Neurospora crassa OR74A: one gene and its partners. The protein of the gene in region 3 interacts with the protein of the main gene of each other region in a biochemical or structural test. Links are inferred from orthologs where the notes say so. Each region holds a gene or a part of one and is shown on either strand. Other genes may lie near its edges. The genes, in order: NCU10397, NCU00725, NCU06105 and NCU02510.

Region 1 (4,428 bases), on a different chromosome or scaffold from region 3:
GTCTCTATCAGACCGCACGACTCGCCCGTAACAAGAATGCGCATGAGCTTCACCCAGACGGGCACGTTGTGCTCTACCCAGATCTTGTGGCACACGCGGATCAGCTGGCAGGCGAATGCCTCCTGACGGAGATCCGCACCCGTTTTGACAATGACGCTGACGAGATCCCAGTTCTTCATCCAGCCGTAAGGAGAGGACTTGCGGATACGCTCCTTCTTCATCTCCCAAGCTTCTCCGAAGACGGCAGCGCTGGGATCATCACGATCGCCCTTGCGCTGGAGACCGCCTGTCTTGATATCGTTTTCCATCCTTGCTAGACCGGCGTTTGGATTCACGTTAGACTCGACCTTCTCCAGGGGAGCCTCGATTTCTTCGTCCGTGGCGACATTGCCGTTGATAACGTTTTCTGCACTGGCCTTGGCCATAATCATGTCGAAGGTCGGCCCTTGGCTATCATGGACTTCAAAACTCTCCTCCTCCAGACTCTGCATGCTGGCAATAATCTTTGCCCTGATTGCGGCCACTTCATGACGCGGCCGCTTGCCACTTGTTGCATCCAACTGCGCCAACATTTGCGAGGCTGTCCGCATATGGATGGCAAGGGCAGAGAAATCAGGTTGGTCGGCGGCCGCGTTGTTGCGCGGACTTTGGAGGGTCATCCTCCTGAAAGGTGGGGTAGAGGATCCCGAAGTGCCAGAACTGCGAGGCGTTGACGTCAGATCAACAAATTGTGTCGAGCTGGTCCCAGTAGTGGCAGCATGGCGGAGACCGCCAGGAACGGGGTTATGCTGTATGGCAAAGGGCTCGTCGTTGAACGGTTTTATTAGTGGCGAGTGCCCTAGATCCCCCGAGGAAGGCTCAAAAACACTATCGATGACGGGCTCCTGTGAACGGGGTGTGGCTGGTATCCTAGAAGACTCGGAAAGGTCAAAAATCCGCCTCCTGGTTCCTTGTTCGACCAAAAGCTGTGTCAGAAGTCTCTGATTATCTTGAGAATCCGGGTCAAATGTGAGATCTTCTCTCAAAATCTCAACCATAAGCAGGAAAGGCACTTTCTCAGCACTGTTCAGTACCGTGGCCTCAGCCGGGTTGAGACGGACTATCCTGTGATGTCGGCTCTGCGAAGGAGAGCCGTTGACCAAAGTAGGAGGGCAGATGACTGGGATATCGACCTCGGCCGGGAGTTCTTGAGCGATTAGAGCCAGCTCAGCGCGTAGGGCACTTAGGCGTGCAGCCTTTGGTACTATTACTAGTCGGTTTGAAATATCCTCTAGTGCGGTCAGGAATGCTGTTTGGCAGTGGAAGTAGTTTTGTTTTAGTAGCCGCATCTTTTGTGTGCGGCTCATGTCCGCTTGGTTCAAGAGCGTCTTGACATGGTGCGAGTGCCTCCTGTTCACTCCAGTCGTTGGCCGCAGGGCCGGAGTGGTCGGCCTGTGTACAAGACCTGGAGAATTGGCATTCGACGTTGGTAGAGGCAGTGAAGATGAACTAAGGCGCGCCTCCAAGACGTTGGAATCGAAAGGAGTAGGTCGCTTGGTCTCTACCGGCGTTTTGATAGAAGACCCCGAAGACGTCGGCCGGGAGTCAGGCTGAGGTTCCTTGATCTTGGGCTTGGGGCGATGCGCCACCGGGCTGCTGTTGTTGCTCTGGAGCTGATGGTCCGATGAGCTTGTAAGGCGGGCCTCCTTTGCCCGTCTCGATTTTGTTGTACCAGCAGTGACGGTATGCGCGCGAGCAGGTGGGGCGGCGTTGACGGGAGTAGCGTCCAACACAGGTTCGATGACTTGAGGGCGGGGCTTTCTGGCTTGCGCGACGGCAAGCGGGCCAGCCCAATGGGGGAGAAACGGGGCGGCGATACTGGCGAGAACGAAGCTCCCTAGGACAGTCACTGGCAAAGCGTTTTCCGTAATCTTCTCGTTCCTTGCACTGTCGGAGACGCCAAAGACGATATGCTGCACCTTGTTGTACACTCTCTGGCATATTTTGAAGGCATTGGCCTGTGGATTAGCGGATAGGTCGTGTAGGTATGTTTGGAAGAGCCAGAATGTCTGCGAGCGGGCGAGATATCAGCAATTCGGAGTCGTGCAAAGCGTCAGATGGTGTATAGAGGGCTGCGCACCAACAAGGCTGCTGTGACCGACTCCTCGCACAGGTCGAGGAGAAACTCCTCCAGGGCCATGGACTCATTGTCGATGCTGATGATAAGGTGACAGAGCTGAGGGAGGAAGAACTCGATGTCCTCGTAGGGGAACTGGCGCAGCTTGCTGCACAGCACATAGTGAATTCCTATGTGGTCGGCATATCGTCTGGCGGTGCGGTCATGTTAGTGTGTGTCTTGCCAGGCCAGTACTGATACGCGCCGCGCCGAGTGAGGAGGAGAGAAAGAGGAGGAGGAGGAGGAGGGGGAGGAGGAGGAGGAGGAGGGGTAGCGAATCTTGGCAAAACGGAATGGCTGACTGACGAGAGGTAGGAGACGGAGAGAAAGGGGTTTTGGTTGAAGACGTCGCTCTCGAGGAACCGCTTTAACAAGTCCCAAGACATTGGTTATGGCGCAACGAGGGTCGACCGCAGATCGACTCGGGGATTATGGGAGGAAAGAGTCAATGTCGGGCTGGCGAGGCTGAAGTGGTGAAGCGAGGCGTAGGCGTAGGTGGGAGAATCGAGCAGCTAGGTAGGTACACTCAGTCTAGACGGAAGCTAACTTGGAACTGGAGCTGGCTGGCTGGCTGGCTGGAGAATGGACGGATACAGAGGGCAGCAAGGCATGCATGCGCAAGCAATGCCTTCATCGGACTTGAACATGAACGGAGTCGACGGCGTAGGGCTGCTGGAGCATGGCTGACGGGGCCGGGCGCGCTTAGGTCGTTACTCGTTATGGTGTTGACAAGTGAGACTGAAATGTGGTGGTGGTGGTGGTGGTGGTAGAGGTAGTATTCCCAAGAAGGACACCAAAACCACTTCCTCTCGCTCGCCAGGGTGCCCGGGTGGTGTCAAGTGGTGTTCCGAAGGTGGAGGTTGGCCGTCACTGCTGTCAGGGGGGGGGGGGGGGGGCCGCAGTCCACTGAAAGGAATAATTGTTCGATACAACAACACCCGCTCGCACGGCACATTGAACGGGACCTATCCGCTAAGCCCGATGGAGCCCCGCGTCCCGTTCCCCACCTGGCCGACTTGTCCGCCTCGGCTGCAGTGTGTCCGTCCACAGCGCCTTTCCTTTGCCCTGCTACAGGCACTTGGCGTCTGCCAACGACCGCTGAAACAGTGTTCCCATCCGCTCTTGTTTCGTCTTGGCGGTTGGGATTCCCATCAACATGACACCCCAAATCATATCAATGGTCCATCTCGTATTGGGGATTCATGGAAGTGAACACGAAGATCTAACCCACCGGCATGTTGATCAGACACTTAGTGCTAGTTCCACCGGCCAAAGTAGATCGATCCCAGGGCGCTTGCGCCATCCGAAAAAGGGGCTCTGCTCCAAGGGAAAAAAAGATGAAAAAAAAGGGGTAAAAGGACACAGACTCCATCCAAAGTAAACAAATCCCCTTTTATCTTGTTCCTGAAACGAAGACGCGAATCATTGATCTACTATTCTACGTTGTATCTTCTCTACATCGACAAGTGCACACGTCCTATCACCTCCACACAACAGTCGTCCCTCCTCCTCCTCCTCCTCCTCTCCCCCCTCCCCTCCCCCCATTCCTCCTCCCTCTCGCACCACTCCTACCTCCCCTCGGCCTCACCCTCTTATACTTGACCCTCTCACTCCCATCCGGCAACACCACCACCTCGTGCTGTATAGAGAACCCAAACGCCGGCAACACCTTGGCCCAAACCACCCAATACATGACGCCGATAACCAGCATGCCCGTCCCCAGCGCCGGCACCACCGAAAAGTGAACCTTGGTCAGCAGCGTGTTCGGGATAAACGGCGCCGCACAGGTATACAGCAGCCCGACAACCCAAAACACCGTCAGGACGGGATAACTATGGAACCGCTTGTTCTCCGGCGTCGTCCAGTTCTCGCTCGGCGTAAAGTTGAGATACAGCAGCCCCACCCCCAGGAAGACCTTGATCCAGTTGCCCGAGTAGGTAAAAATGTTGGACAGAAACTGGTACACGTCCTTGGTGCTGGATCCGAGGATCAAGGCCACGGTGAAGATCCAATGCAGCAAAATGGCGCCCGTCGGCGACTTTTGCTCGGGCCAGTCGCTCGCCCAGAAGCGCGAGAAGGGGAGAGTGCCTTCCTTTGCGAGCTCCTGCTTCACACGGGGCATGGCGAAGGATTGCGCAAAGACGTTGCCGAGCGCGGAGAGGGCGAGGAAGAGAGGCATGACGCGCTCGGTGAAGGCCGAGGGACCCCAGACGCGGGTGAAGAAGATGGCGGTGGGGACGACGCCGGATTTGGAGAGTTCGTCTTTGGTCATG
Region 2 (4,264 bases), on a different chromosome or scaffold from region 3:
ACGCATTGGCCATGAGTGTGCGCTTTGGTGCTCGTAGTCATTAATCATTTTGGTGGTAATGACTGATCGACTGTTGAGGTTGTGATCGGTGGGTCGAGGGTGTTCGAGGCTGGCCTTGCGCCGTCATACCGAGCCGAGGGCGAGTGCGGAGGCTTGAGTCACTGGACACATACTTTGCGATCCATGAACTCACTATTGGATGAAGTATTCTAGCTCATGTTGATGGACTGCATGTTGGGATGATGCTCCAGCCTTACGGTTGTTCAAACCATTCGAGGAGGCTGATATGCCAGAAAAATAAAGACAGACGGAAAAGGGGGGGGGGGGGGGGGGGGGGGGGGGGGGTTGAGGGGGTTCACCAGTTCATAACGGGCCAGAAGTGAAGCCAATAAAGAAGGCAAGGAGCTTCAGTGGTAAAAGTTCCATCAAACGAACATCAGGGATGGAAGCTATGCGAATTCCACAAGATAAAACAACAGATCGACCGCAACATCGGGTTACTTGACCATGAGCGACTCAACAGCCGGCTTGGGTCTTCTGGAATTGTGAAGGTGAGGATGAGTGTATACGGGGACTTAAGTTACGGATCAGTTCACTCTTTGAGGGACTCGCACGCGGAAACAAAACGTGACAAACACAAAGAAGCCGAATGCAGCATAAATAGACGTGAAATTTTGTTGCAGACGAGAGGCGCTGCAAGATACCCACCCCTACCTCCAATAACATTACGTGGAATATAAATCGTTTAACTGCTCATCTCCTCTTTGTGTAACTGCACACCCTTGATCTACTCCAAGGATCCCGCTTCCGTAAGTAGACGACAGCGGTTCTAAATACTCCTTGGAAAACTCCTCACACCCAGTCAGGTAATTAACCGAGCAGATCGTCCAACCCGTGGTTGCCGCCAGTGGTGGGCCTGCTACCGCTGGTCGGAGTGGAGGGCGCAGGAGTTCCCCAAATACCAGCACTACTCTTCTCTTTGGCCAGTTGTCCGATAGCCGGACCCTTGGTGGTAGGCGTGCTCTTCTTGATTCCAGCACTAGCCTGCGACCACAGCGCACCGAAGGCGTCACCGCCAGCGGCTGGCTTGGAGGCAGCTGAACCGGTTGCCTTGGTTCCTGAAAGCGAGGACCCGGTGGACTGGGTCTGCAGCTGTACCGGGGAAAAGTAGTTTGGCTGACCGGCTTGGAAGCCAGTTGGCTTGGGAGCCTGGGAGACGGGCGAAAGGGGCGTGGAGAAAGCCGAGAAGTTGGCAGCAGGAGTCGCCGTGGAGCTGGGAGGAGGAGAGATGGAGGAGAGGGCAACCATGCCGCTAAGGTTGGCCTGCTGAGGCGCCGAAACTGGTTGCGGGGCAACAAACTGTGTGCCAGTAGAGAGGGGGGCGATTGGGGGAGAAATTGCAGAAGCAGGCTGCGTGGCGGGGGCTGCAGACTGGAAATCATCGAACTCGTCGTCGTCGTCTTTGGCGCCGCCGGCTAGAGCCGCAAGCCCAGAGCCGTTGGAAGGTGCGGCAGCGAGGGGCGCGGTCGGGATGGATGGCGCTGCGGGCTCGTCGAAGGAAAACAAGTCGATCTCGGGCTCCTTTTTCTTGGGCGGCTCGGCGGGTGCTGTTGTTTTCTTGACCCCGGCTCTTTCTGTCGTGGATCGTGGTGTCCTTGGCGCGGTACGAGACGACGCCTCAGCGTCCAAATCACCTGCATCGTATTCCTCAAACTGCTCTGCCCGTGCCTGGGTCCCGCGGTAGTCGTTGTTGGAAGGCTGGCCACCAAAAACACCTCCGTCGCCATAAACTCCTCCAGAATAGCCACCGTAGGTAGAGCTGCTACCACCGCCACCACTGCTGCTACCGCCATACGAAGTGTTGCCGAAACCGCCATAACGTCCGCTGCTCCCGCTGGAGAAGCTCATTCCACCCGAAATGCCCGTGAACTTGCCCTTGTTTGCGCGGGCCTTCTTGCGCTCTGCTCGGATACGCTCGACATCGCTGAGGAGCTCGGCGAGTTCCTTGGCGCGGTTGCGGACGTTGATACCCTGGTCTTTGCCGTTCTGGTCGATAAAATGGAACTGGCGCAGCATCTTGAGGAGGGTAAGATGCGACCGAGCATCGTCCACCACTCGTTCGGAACCGTGCTTAATCAGGTACTCTAGTAGTTGAAGGGCCTTGTAGATCTGGCGCCATTCTTCGGCGGACTTTTCTGTGAAACGGCGGTAAATCATGGGCATGATTTCGTTGAGTGTTTGGCTAAGAACAAGGAGGGAAACGCAAGTTAGCCGCGTTCGTATACAAGCGAGCAGTTCTCGAGAACGTACTAGTTGAAGGTGCCATCGGCGATCTCTTGCATCAAAGTCGACGATGCACCCCAAGGTTCATTGTTGGTGGCCTCGCGCACCTGGGTTCGCTGTCAGCTCCCGTTCCATGGTCTCTTGTCTGGGATCAAGTATATGGCGAAGGGCGCAAGAGAATGGTGCCAGTGTGGCGCGTGGATACGGGCATACCTTGGACTCCATCTCGGTATAGTTCATGACAGCTGGTTGGAGCCATTGTCAGCACCCTGAACACGAAATCATGAGGGAGTCTTGGTTCTGGACTAGGTGGTCACCTACCATTTTGAACCTTTCGTACGCCAGCCTTGATGTCGTAGAGTGTCAGGTTGGACACGGTATCCTTGAGGCTATTGAAATCCATTGCGTAAACGTGTCTATCGCCGGAGTTGCTGGGAATTGTTCTGATGGGCTAAGGTAATTCTTCTCTAGATCCAATCTGAGCCTCGCGGTGATGATTGCCAGACGGGCGGGATGCTGTGGCGACTTGGTGGTTTTTGTTCGGGCTGATCGCTTTCAGGGCGACGTTTCACGGTCTTGTCGGGATCAGATGGACATTGAGGTGGCCTAGCGTCAGGGTGCCGCTGAGCGCTGACCTCAACTGACGCCGTCCAAGGCCGACCCCTGCGCTTGACCCAACACCCTGACACCAAGAAGCCAGTGGAACCCAGGAGGTCTGCCAAGACTTTGAAAGCTTGGCACGAGCGTCTCAGCTCTTTGAAGCCTGAGTTTTCAGGCAAGAATTCTGCTTGTAATTGCCGGGCCGGCCGACAACGCGGGGCGGCGGGAGGGGACGCTCGGCCGCCGGAGCTCGCTTCCATGCATTTTGGATGGAGTAAAAATTGTTAAACACCCGACCCGACTCCGTTCTCCCTCTCGTCTCAGGTCTTTGTTGTGCATCCATCGCCGTGTAGCAGATTTCCATCGTTCGTTTGTTCGGACTTTACCTTGTACTTTTAGCTTCATTATCATCCTACAATCATCCAGGATTTCATCTTCCACAACCGGTACGTTATCATTTTTACTTTTGTTGCCATGTTCTTCTTGAGCCTTTTCTGTCTAGAGGAGCTCTCCCTGCCGGCTGGGAGCTTGCCCAAAGCTCCAAGCTCTATCTGTGGCAGAGCTCTGAGAGCTTCCATTCCCGGGATTTCTTGGCATCAGATTCAATTCGAATGTCCTTTTTTCCATCCACGCTCGAGATGAGGGGTGAGGTTTGTTAGTTTGACAATACCACCACCGCCTTTTGGTCCCTACCCCAGACATGGCCATCAAGGTCGTTAATGCCGTCCATCCCTCTTGTTCGGCTTGGGGTATCGTCCATGGCTCCGCAATGTCGTCAATGGCTGCATTGACAGAGGGGGACTCCAAATGAAAGAGGCAATCGCAACGCTATGAAGACCCAACAAGCCATATGATGGAGCCATGGGTCTACGGTCCTTTGGCCCGGATGTCTTTGGATAGCTCTTGCCAGCGCTTTAGCTGCCAACTATACACACACGGGTGGTGGCAGTTTTGATTGTCATTGCCGTCAGCGTCAGGGCCGACGGGACCTTGGAGACTCGGGGGGGAAGCGCCAACACCAGATGGCAGCTGTTTACTTGTTCGTACTGGTGTTCCTGAGCCAACGAACCAATCCGAAGCCCACATGCGCCAAAGATGACACTTGCAGAGGCTCATACCACTCCACGTTGTCAAGCTGACCTGCTGTTTCGTCGTCTCCCGCCGCACTGGCAAACGAGACCGAAACAGGCGGCGTGGCGACAGGCCGACAGCTCGAGTCGCAACAATCAATCACGTGGCGAGCAGCTACGTACCTTCTCCGCCCCCCACTTCTCGGATTGGCTGACCCCTCCTTTCCATTTTAGTGAAAATGTTTGGACCCCGCCATTTCTCTGTCCTTAAGACAACAGGTTCTCTCGTCTCCTCGACTTTCTCGTCATCT
Region 3 (4,420 bases):
GGCGGTTCGGGGTTGGCAAACGATTTGGAGGCGAGGATTTTGCGCCGAATGGCCTCCATCTCGGCTTCATCATCGCTATCGTCGGATATGGCGAAAGGGTCCTTGTCTTCTTCCTCTGACTCCTCTTCGGCTGGTTGTTTCTGTTTGGGCGGTGGTTTGGTGCCAAGGTAGATACCGTCTACGCTGCCGTCTTCGTCGTTACTGTCTGCCTCCTCATCGCTATCTTCCTCGTCGTCTTCGTCGTCGTCCTCCTCATCTGAGTCATCCATAGCTGGCCTCCGATTTGTGTTTCCGGTCGTCCAAATGTCATCCGACTCTCCCTCTCTGCTCTCAGTATACTCTTTTTCTAGCCTCTCCCTCCACGCCTCCTCCGCCTTCTTGATCTCCTCCTCATCCTTGCACGCCGAGTAGATCTTGAACAGCTTCGAGTTGATATCCAGGAATGCCCTGCCGTAAGAAAACGGAGCCAAAATCTCTTCCGCCCACTCCAAATGACCACAGATGGCAAAGGCCGCCGCCAGCGCCTCCACGCAGTTCAGCCGAAACGGCTTACCATAGTTGACCGTGTTGGCCGCCACGAGGTACGGCAACAAGCGCTCGCACTTGCCGCCCACCTTTTTCCACTCCACCTCCTTGGTGCGGGCCCACGAGCACTCCACCACCGCCGCGCCATACTGCTCCATCAGCTCCTTGTCGGCGGGCGACACGACCCGCTTGCCGTTGGGCGTGATGATGACGCCCGAGTGTCGCTGGCCCAGGTGCAGCTCGCGCATGAGACCGAGTTTCATCAGCTTCTTGCCTGAGCACCGCTTCGGGTCGCAGTGGCCTAGGTCCCAGCAGGCGGCCTTGAAGGGAGGGCGGTAGGGGCGTGAGGACGTGGACGGGTCGTGAGGGTTGGCTGTGGTGTCTTCGCCGCCGCTGCCGGCATTGTCTCGGGGGCCTTTGCTGCTGCGGGGGTTGTTGCGGGGCGCGTTCCGACCATGGCCGCCTTTGCCGCCGCGCGAGGAGAAGCCGTCCTTTTTGTGGCGGACCATAGTGGTGATGGTTTGAATTTCGTCGGGAGGATGGATGTTGTCGAGATGGAGTGCCGATGGTTTTGGCTCTGGGGTTGAAGCTTGTAATTGACGGACTTTTTTTTATGTCGCAATGGATGGATGATTTTGGCACGACCTAGCACTGCCTTGCTTTACCAGGGCAGAACTTGGATGGAAATATGCGTGCCGTCTTGGACCACAATGCGAGCTGCTTGCGCTACAAGGTTGAAGTGGCAGATGGCGAAAAAAGTTATGGATGCGATTTGAAGACCTTGACGACATCGCATTTGGGGTTCAGTTGGTGCAGGTGGGGTGGACAGGTGGGTCCGCTGAGGATGTCCATGATTGACGTCTTCCCCGGATTCATGCAACTCACCGATTGTTGCTGCGGAAGATGCTCGATTCGCAAGCGTCTGCCGCGCTTACACCATGCTGGAGGCGCTTGTCGAGGTGCTGTGGATTGAAATTGCAGTGTATTATTCATCCACAAAGATAGTATTCTTGTAACGCAGTCTCGCAACGTACCGATGTGCGGCTCCATTTTTCCTTGCGCCCCAACAACCTCAACGGCAGGCAACAGCGCAGGCCCAAGCCCAACCCGTCCGTCCAGAGCACTGAGAGGGGTCCACGACCTGACCTAGCCGTGTAAGCTCCCGTCCCCTAGCAGCAGTAGGCCTCTCCTCCTTCCATCAGCCAGCGATCCAGGTGGACACATTCCCGTTACCTCTAGGTACAGAAGTTCGGATCGAATCATAGTCCAGTCTCTGGGTGTATAACGAAGTATCAAACTGTAGTAGTACCATACCATACCTCTACTCACCATACTTGGTAATAATCCCAACGGCTTACCGGGAAGAGGGGGAGCTTCACTAGGTACCTACCTTACCTCTAGCACACAACTCCTCTAGACTACACTAGAGCTTGACCGACCAAAGGCTTGGTTGGGTCCTGGTTGCCGCCATCCATTACCTACCTATCCAGGCGACTCCCGCCAAGCTGCGCAATCTGGCCCCAATACCTCCTCGGTCTCTTCAGTCTCGTCAGTCTCCTCATCCACCACTCAACACGTCCCGACTCCCCGAGAACGCCGGCAACATGGAGGCGGCGTCTGCCCGCTATGCCACGCGCGACCGGTGGGCCGAGATGGGCCGCCCGGCCCCGTCCCAGCTTCAGCGCTTCATCACGGCCGCCTGCAGTCCCGACAACTACGAACCCAACTTGGCCCTGAACCTCGAGATCGCCGACTTGATCAACTCCAAGAAGGGTTCCGCCCCTCGAGAGGCCGCCGTGGCCATCGTCAACTACATAAACAACCGCAACCCCAACGTTTCGCTGCTGGCCCTCAACCTGCTCGACATCTGCGTCAAGAACTGCGGCTACCCCTTCCACCTCCAGATCAGCACAAAGGAGTTTCTCAATGAGCTGGTACGCCGCTTTCCCGAGCGGCCCCCGATTCGCCCCACCCGTGTCCAGCTCAAGATCCTCGAAGCCATTGAGGAGTGGCGCTGTACGATTTGCGAAACGAGCAGATATAAAGAGGACTTGGGCTTCATCAGGGACATGCACCGCTTGCTGAGCTACAAGGGGTACACCTTCCCGGAAGTCAGAAGGGAGGATGCTGCTGTGCTTAACCCGAGTGATGTAAGTGTTCCGTCCCGATTCCATGGGTCATTGTTGAAGCGTGTCTAACCTATCTGTCACAGAACCTAAAATCTGTCGAGGAAATGGAAGAGGAGGAACGCGAGGCGCAGTCCGCCAAGCTGCAGGAGCTTATCCGTCGAGGTACTCCCGAGGACCTCCAGGAGGCTAATCGACTCATGAAGGTCATGGCTGGCTATGACACGAGATCCAAGGTGGATTACCGCGCCAAGGCGGCCGAGGACGTGGGCAAAATCCAACAAAAAGCGAGACTTCTCGAGGAGCGGTTAGAAGCCTTTCAACCCGGCGACAAGATCGTGGATGGCGATGTGTTTTCCGAGCTCGCAGCCGCCCTGTCTAGCGCCCAACCAAAGATCCAGAAGATGTGCGAGGAAGAATCAGACGACCATGAAGCAGTCGCAAAACTTCTCGAAATCAACGACAGCATACACCGAACTGTGGAGAGATATAGGTTGCTGAAGAAGGGCGATATAGAGGGTGCCAAGGCATTGGCAAGTGGCGCGCCAGTTGCAAGCACAAGCAACGGCAGTGGAAGTGGTGCTGGCAAGAGTGCGGCGCAAGAGCTGTCGCTCATTGATTTTGATGCTGAGCCAAGCGGGGGGGACTCGACCAGCCAGTCCGCACCCCAGGGAGGAAACAGCCTCGACAACGACTTGCTTGGCCTGTCGCTGGGTGAAACCAGCTCTTATGGTCAAGGAGGTGGCATTGCCCTCGGGTTCGGTGCCAATACGAGTATGTCACTCGCTGCTTTCCGTGCAAGAGTCAAAGAGAATGTTGCTAACAGATCACCACAGACATTCCTGGACCGGCACTGCTCTCATCCACCACGCAGAACAGCACCGCACGGGGCCCCTCCCCTCAACCTGGCCCATCCTCTTTCAACAATTTCAACTCATTCGCATCACCAGTTGCTTCTCAATCAAGCACCCCCAAGCCTCCCGCGTATACAGCATCCGCTTTTTCCGCGCCAGCTGCGTCGTCAACAGCGTCCAACGACCCATTTGCTGCTCTAGCCTCTCTCTCCTCTTCATCTACCCCGGCGCCAGCGCCAGCACCAGCTGCTACCGGTAATGACGATGACGAGTGGTCTTTCTCCTCGGCACTGCCTCCTGAGGCGACACCCGCCCAGCCTAAGGAGCACAGAGCCGTTGTTTCTAACACTGCGCTCAAGGTCGACATGGTGGCTGTCAGATCTCTGTCCAATGGCCCATCTCCAGCCATTTCTATGCAATTTGCTTTTAGCAACAACACAGCGCAACCCATCACCGAGGTGCATTTCCAGTTGGCTGTCACCAAGGTAAGCTCACTAATCTGACCCTTGGCACTTTGACCAAAAATGTTTTGGGCTACGTTATGTGCCTTCGTCAGTTGTAGAAAGCCCTCAAGCGAGATGCTAATTGTGATGCTTGAACAGGGATACGAATTGCAACTTCAGCCTCAAACAGGACGGACTCTTACCCCCAAGCAGAGCCGGGGCATTACCCAGTCAGTCAACGTATGGTATACGGCGGACAAGACCAGGAAGGTAGAGAGCGTGAAACTCAGGTGGAGGGTATCATACAAGGTTGGAGCGGAAGCAAAGGCCGAGATGGGTGAGATTCCCGAGTTCAGTGTGGCATAAGCAGGAACTTTGGTAAGAACGAGGGCCACAAGAATGAGAACAGGGTTGCGTGCATGTTTACGTTCAAAATTCATTCATAGTAGTACAGAGCCAATTAATATGTAGT
Region 4 (4,568 bases), on a different chromosome or scaffold from region 3:
GACTTCGGGGTCCTCGGTGACATTGACGACACTGGCAAGGAAGTAGTAAAGACCTTCAGCAGTCTTGTACTTCTCAAAGAGATCAATCAATTGCTGCGCGCCGAGGAGCTCCGCATACTTGGTTGCGACTTGAACGACAGTCTGGAGATTCTGGCGAATATTGTGCTTCATCATGGCGTCCAGGCAGTCAAGCGATTGCTCAACAGACAGCGCCTTGAAATACTCAATCAACCACTCGGGGTTGTAGTTAGGCATTCCAGGGATGTTGACAATAACCCGCTTGATGGACGCAGGATCCTCATAGAGCTCCAGGGCCTTCTGCAAAAGACCTGCTTGCTCGCAGAGGTTCGCAATGTGCGCCTTGTCAAAGTGGGAGAACATGTCGTTGCCAAGAATGGCGTCAGCAACCTGGGGGGCGTTGACGAGGTTCATCTCCAATAGACGAGTCTGAAGGTGGGCATGCTCGGGCTTGTTATCCTTCAGAGCGTCAAGAAGGAAAGCAGTTGCTTGCTGGATCATTCCTTGAGACTGGAAGATGTCAACCACCTTCTCGAAGTCGACCAGCGGGCCGCCTTCGTGATTGGCAAGCGTCGTGGCAAACTCGGCACCCTTCTCAGCATTGACACGGACAATGTGGTGGAGAAGCTGAATAAAGTCAGGCTGGTAGTTGGCTTGACCGCAGTAGGGCAGAATCTTCTCAAACTGGCCAGTCTCGGCAAACCCAGCAACAACCTTGTGAGGAGCGTTGGCCTTCAAATAGATGGCAAGCGCCATGTTAATGTCGTGGGGCCGGACCATGTCACCAAGTCTCTCAGAGCACTCGAGCTTGTTCTCGCTGAGCCACTTCTGCAATAGCTGTTTGCGGTTCTGAGCGAGAACGGGTTGGGCAAGCTCAATGGTCTCATGCTCGTTCAGCGAACCCTTGTCTAGAAGCATACCAAAGTACTGCAAGATATGCGACATCTGTCCAGGCTGCTGTGGAAGACGCTTGAAGCGCTCGATGGTCTGAGGAGTGCGAAGGAAACCTCGAGGAGAGTTGGCAGCCACCTTGGCGGCCTCTTGGTAGTTGCCATTGCTGAAGAGTTGCTCGAAGCGTTGCTGGTAGAGGTTATCGGCGCCTGGGAGCCCTGCACGAGAAGCCAACTTGATAGCGAGCTCATTGCCGTGTGCCTCAAGGACGTAAGGAACGATTGTGTTCTCATCGGCGCTGACGAAGAGAACCTGTCCCTTGCGGTTGATGCCAATGACGCCGGTCGAATCCTTGTCACCGCAAGCAGTGAAGATAGTATCGCTTGAGATGCGGTTCATGAAGATACATGTGGCAGTCTCGAGGTCGTAGAGGTGGATGAAACCGTACTTGGTGATAAGGTAGATGATGCCGTACTTTTGCGAAACCTGGAGGGCGACGGGGAAGTCATTGCTGGCCTCGGGAGGGAAGAAGACGTCCACGGCCTTCTTGGGGAAGACGGGGTTTGTTTCGGGATGGTCGACCTCGACAATGTGGAGCTTCGCGCCGACGGCGGTGCGGACCGCAAAGGTAAACACCTTGGTGTCCTCCGGGGCGCCCTCTAGTCGGAGGGTGCCAAAAGCAGCGGCATGACCCTCAATAGCCTGGCTGATACCGCGGTCTTTGGAATAGAGCTGCATGGCGCCAACAACGCGGCCCTGCTGTTGTGAGATACCGACAACAACCATCCACTTTCCGTCGGCGCTGGTCCGATAATTAATTATTTGGTTGCCCTGGAGATTAGCATTACGATCGAAGACCTTGACCGGAGCGGGCTGGTTCGGGTCGAAGACATCCCAATGGTAAACAGAGCCATCTGTGATCAAGCCAAGCGTGGTCTCGCTAACCCACTTCCAGAACAAGACATCCTCGCTCATGTTTGTCGACTTGAGCTTGGCCTTGTTTTCGAGGTCGAAAATCTGGAGTGTGCGCGCCTGGGCCTTGAGGGCAATTACTTGGCGCGTCCAGTGCATTATGGCACTGTCGGCCTTGATGGGACGTCGGATAACATTATTGCCGTTCTTGAGATCGACGATGATGACTTCAGGGGACGCTGCCTCGTCCTTCTTGTCGCGAATACACACCCAGTTGTCCGATTCTAGAGTCTGGGAGCGGGGGGTTCACGTCAGCAGGGGTGCCAGAGGAGGCGCGACAACTGTCACTAGCAGAGTCAGAGCAAGGTGAGGACAACGTACACAGGTATTGAAAGTGATGGCAGTCTGGTTGATGCCGAGGGCGCTGAGTTGCAGCAGCTCCTGGAATTTGATGGGTAGGGCCTGAGCCATGATGGGCGGTGGTGTTGCGCTAAGCTGCGCGCAGAGTGACGAAGATTAGCAGCCAACTTATCAAAAGCGGCTGGAAGGTGAATCCGCTGGGAAGTAGAAAGATTGGGGAAATGGAGGCTCGTGAAGCTCCGTGGACTGAATGGAATGGCGGCGACGTGAAAGGAGGCGGTGGTGGTGGTGGTTGGTTGTACTTTGGGGGGAAAATGACCGAGCTCCCGAGAAATGGGGAGGGGGAAAGAGGACGGATGAATCAGGTAGGTAGAGGTAGGTAGGAGGTTGGAGGTGGAAGGATTAACGCAAGGTCCAGAAGGCAGGTACGCAGTAAAACCCGCCGCCAAACTGTGGGTGAGAGGTGAGTCGCGATTTGCCGCTCAGTTACAGATACGTAAAGTAAAGGCGAGCAGGTACCTCGATGTCACCTCACTTCAATGCTCCAGCAGAAAGAATAGAGAAGAATCGCGGTTGTTGAAGGATGCAAAGCAGCAAGAGGAGACGTCGTTTGTTACGGGAAGTTAGTACCGTGAGAGATGAAAGATACAGCAGGAAAGATGGAAGGTGCTGAGGTGAGATGCCTCTCCAGCTGTCCAGTGTGTTTGTACATGCCGCAACTGTTCAGCGCAGACGGAAGGTACCTCTAGTACCTCTCAGGTTACCTGCCTGCTTTTGAGTGATGTGTTAACACGGGACCTCGCGGCCGGGGCGTCCACCGCCCACCGGCGCCGGCTCCATTCAGTGCTTCCCCCTGCGTCGGGTGCGCCTAGACCAGGCGGCAGGCGCCTGCCCGGGAGGCCTGCCTGCCCCCTTCGCTTCAAGCTGTCCGCCCGGTCCAGGTTGCCCGCCCTCATCCCGTCATCCTTCTACTTTCCTTTGCCCGCATTGATCGCCTCTCCTGCGAGGTCCGTCAGACGGTCCTTCCATTTCCTACCTCTAGGTACCTTATACCTCCAGGCCGCCTGCCTCCGGGGGCGCCGTTCATGCCGGGCTCCAGGGGCAGCTGTTCCCTACTCCAGAACAGCCCAGCTCCAGGGGTAGCGTCAGCTGTTGCTACAGGGATTCCGAACTTGGCCCAGCTTGACTAATGTGGGGCACTGACCAATGGCTCACCTTTTGGGACCGCAGTGAGGTGGAACCCGATTTGAGGAAAGAGACTTGGCATTGCTATCGATAAGCTTTTTCAGAAAAGAAAATCGACCCGGAGAAATATCCACAAGCGCCTGTCGATGGTGGGCTATCAGTGTTCAAACCAACCCCAACAACATCCCAATCACCACCAGACGACCAGCAATACCATCAAAATGGGTGTCGGACGTCGCATGCAGAAACAGGGCCCTCCTGAGCCCCTCTCGGAGGAGCACTTCGCCAACCTCAAGCGCAAGAAGGGCATTCCCTTTGACGAAACCACGACCGAAGTCGACACTAGAAGATCCAAGAAGCAGAAGATTGTCAAGAAGCAGCCCAAGACATCCGGCTCCAACACTGTCGCAGTCAAGGGCGCCAAGAAAGAGGTCAAGGAGGTGAAGAAGACTGGCACAAAGCCCGCCCACAGGTCCAAGGAGTCCAAGAAGCCTAAGAAGGCAAAGCAGCCTTCGCCCGATCATGACGAGGAGATGGACGACGAGTTTGGCGCGTCCGACCTGGAGGGCCTTGATATCGACGGCGATGAGATGGACGTTCAAAAGCTAGGAGACGATTTCCTCGGCACTGACGACGACTCGGTTTACGATTCCGACCAGGACGGTGCTACCAAGAAGGAGGCATTCGTCTTCTCTGACGATGAGGATGACGAAGAGGATAGAGAGGAGAAGCTCACAGCCGCCAACATCGAGGGTCTTTCGAGGAAATTGGATATGCAAAGAGAGAAGGAAGCAGAGGAGAACGAGGCCGAATTGCGCGACGAGGCGCTCCAGACCAACATCGCTGGTGGTGATGACCTCGGTGATGACGACGACCAACTTCAGACTAAGACCAAAACTTTGCTGGCACCCGATCTCCAGATGTTGAGAACGAGGATAACAGACGCCATCCGTATCCTGGACGACTTTTCGAATTCGGCGGAAGAGGGCAAGAGTCGCGCCGAGTACACCAGCCAACTCATCAAGGATATCTGTGCCTGTAAGGACCCGATGTTCCTTGCGCAATACTTCTCGTGAAATGCACAAATGTTAACTTCAGGTTTTGCCAGACTACGGTTACAACGAGTACCTCGCTGAAAAGCTTTTGTATGTTTTACAACCTGTCGCATGCCTGTCTGCGGCGATACCACCAGTGGGGAAACT

Evidence for each region.
Region 1: the proteins of NCU06105 (region 3) and NCU10397 form a complex in vitro, tested with the Saccharomyces cerevisiae proteins (2 studies listed by BioGRID). The link is inferred for Neurospora crassa OR74A from reciprocal best matches to the Saccharomyces cerevisiae genes GGA2 and PIK1.
Region 2: the proteins of NCU06105 (region 3) and NCU00725 form a complex in vitro, tested with the Saccharomyces cerevisiae proteins (2 studies listed by BioGRID). The link is inferred for Neurospora crassa OR74A from reciprocal best matches to the Saccharomyces cerevisiae genes GGA2 and ENT3.
Region 4: the proteins of NCU06105 (region 3) and NCU02510 form a complex in vitro, tested with the Saccharomyces cerevisiae proteins (2 studies listed by BioGRID). The link is inferred for Neurospora crassa OR74A from reciprocal best matches to the Saccharomyces cerevisiae genes GGA2 and CHC1.

Annotation. Positions count from the first base shown.
Region 1 is NC_026503.1:1,284,569-1,288,996, reverse strand, and holds the start of NCU10397 (phosphatidylinositol 4-kinase PIK1a), read right to left. Parts: upstream 2,973-4,428; 5' UTR 2,542-2,972; coding exon 2,462-2,541; intron 2,307-2,461; coding exon 2,120-2,306; intron 2,049-2,119; coding exon 1-2,048. Other genes in the region: NCU10675 (methionine permease), read right to left, coding at 3,636-4,428. UniProt on the Saccharomyces cerevisiae protein: Acts on phosphatidylinositol (PI) in the first committed step in the production of the second messenger inositol 1,4,5,-trisphosphate. PIK1 is part of a nuclear phosphoinositide cycle and could control cytokinesis through the actin cytoskeleton.
Region 2 is NC_026501.1:7,405,260-7,409,523, reverse strand, and holds NCU00725 (epsin-3), read right to left. Parts: upstream 2,912-4,264; 5' UTR 2,687-2,911; coding exon 2,605-2,686; intron 2,529-2,604; coding exon 2,497-2,528; intron 2,391-2,496; coding exon 2,311-2,390; intron 2,243-2,310; coding exon 871-2,242; 3' UTR 575-870; downstream 1-574. Other genes in the region: csr-1 (peptidyl-prolyl cis-trans isomerase), read left to right, coding at 4,193-4,264. UniProt on the Saccharomyces cerevisiae protein: Involved in the recruitment of clathrin to the Golgi network and endosomes to form clathrin coated vesicles. Plays a role in the trafficking of clathrin between the Golgi network and endosomes.
Region 3 is NC_026507.1:1,783,505-1,787,924, reverse strand, and holds the start of NCU06105 (ADP-ribosylation factor-binding protein GGA1), read left to right. Parts: upstream 1-1,549; 5' UTR 1,550-2,129; coding exon 2,130-2,675; intron 2,676-2,737; coding exon 2,738-3,425; intron 3,426-3,487; coding exon 3,488-3,990; intron 3,991-4,107; coding exon 4,108-4,314; 3' UTR 4,315-4,420. Other genes in the region: NCU06104 (RLI and DUF367 domain-containing protein), read right to left, coding at 1-1,034. UniProt on the Saccharomyces cerevisiae protein: May play a role in the regulation of membrane traffic through the trans-Golgi network.
Region 4 is NC_026501.1:2,562,587-2,567,154, forward strand, and holds the start of NCU02510 (clathrin heavy chain), read right to left. Parts: upstream 2,893-4,568; 5' UTR 2,293-2,892; coding exon 2,203-2,292; intron 2,113-2,202; coding exon 1-2,112. Other genes in the region: NCU02511 (S-adenosylmethionine-dependent methyltransferase superfamily domain-containing protein), read left to right, coding at 3,513-4,404, 4,475-4,511. UniProt on the Saccharomyces cerevisiae protein: Clathrin is the major protein of the polyhedral coat of coated pits and vesicles. In yeast, it is involved in the retention of proteins in an intracellular membrane compartment, presumably the trans-Golgi.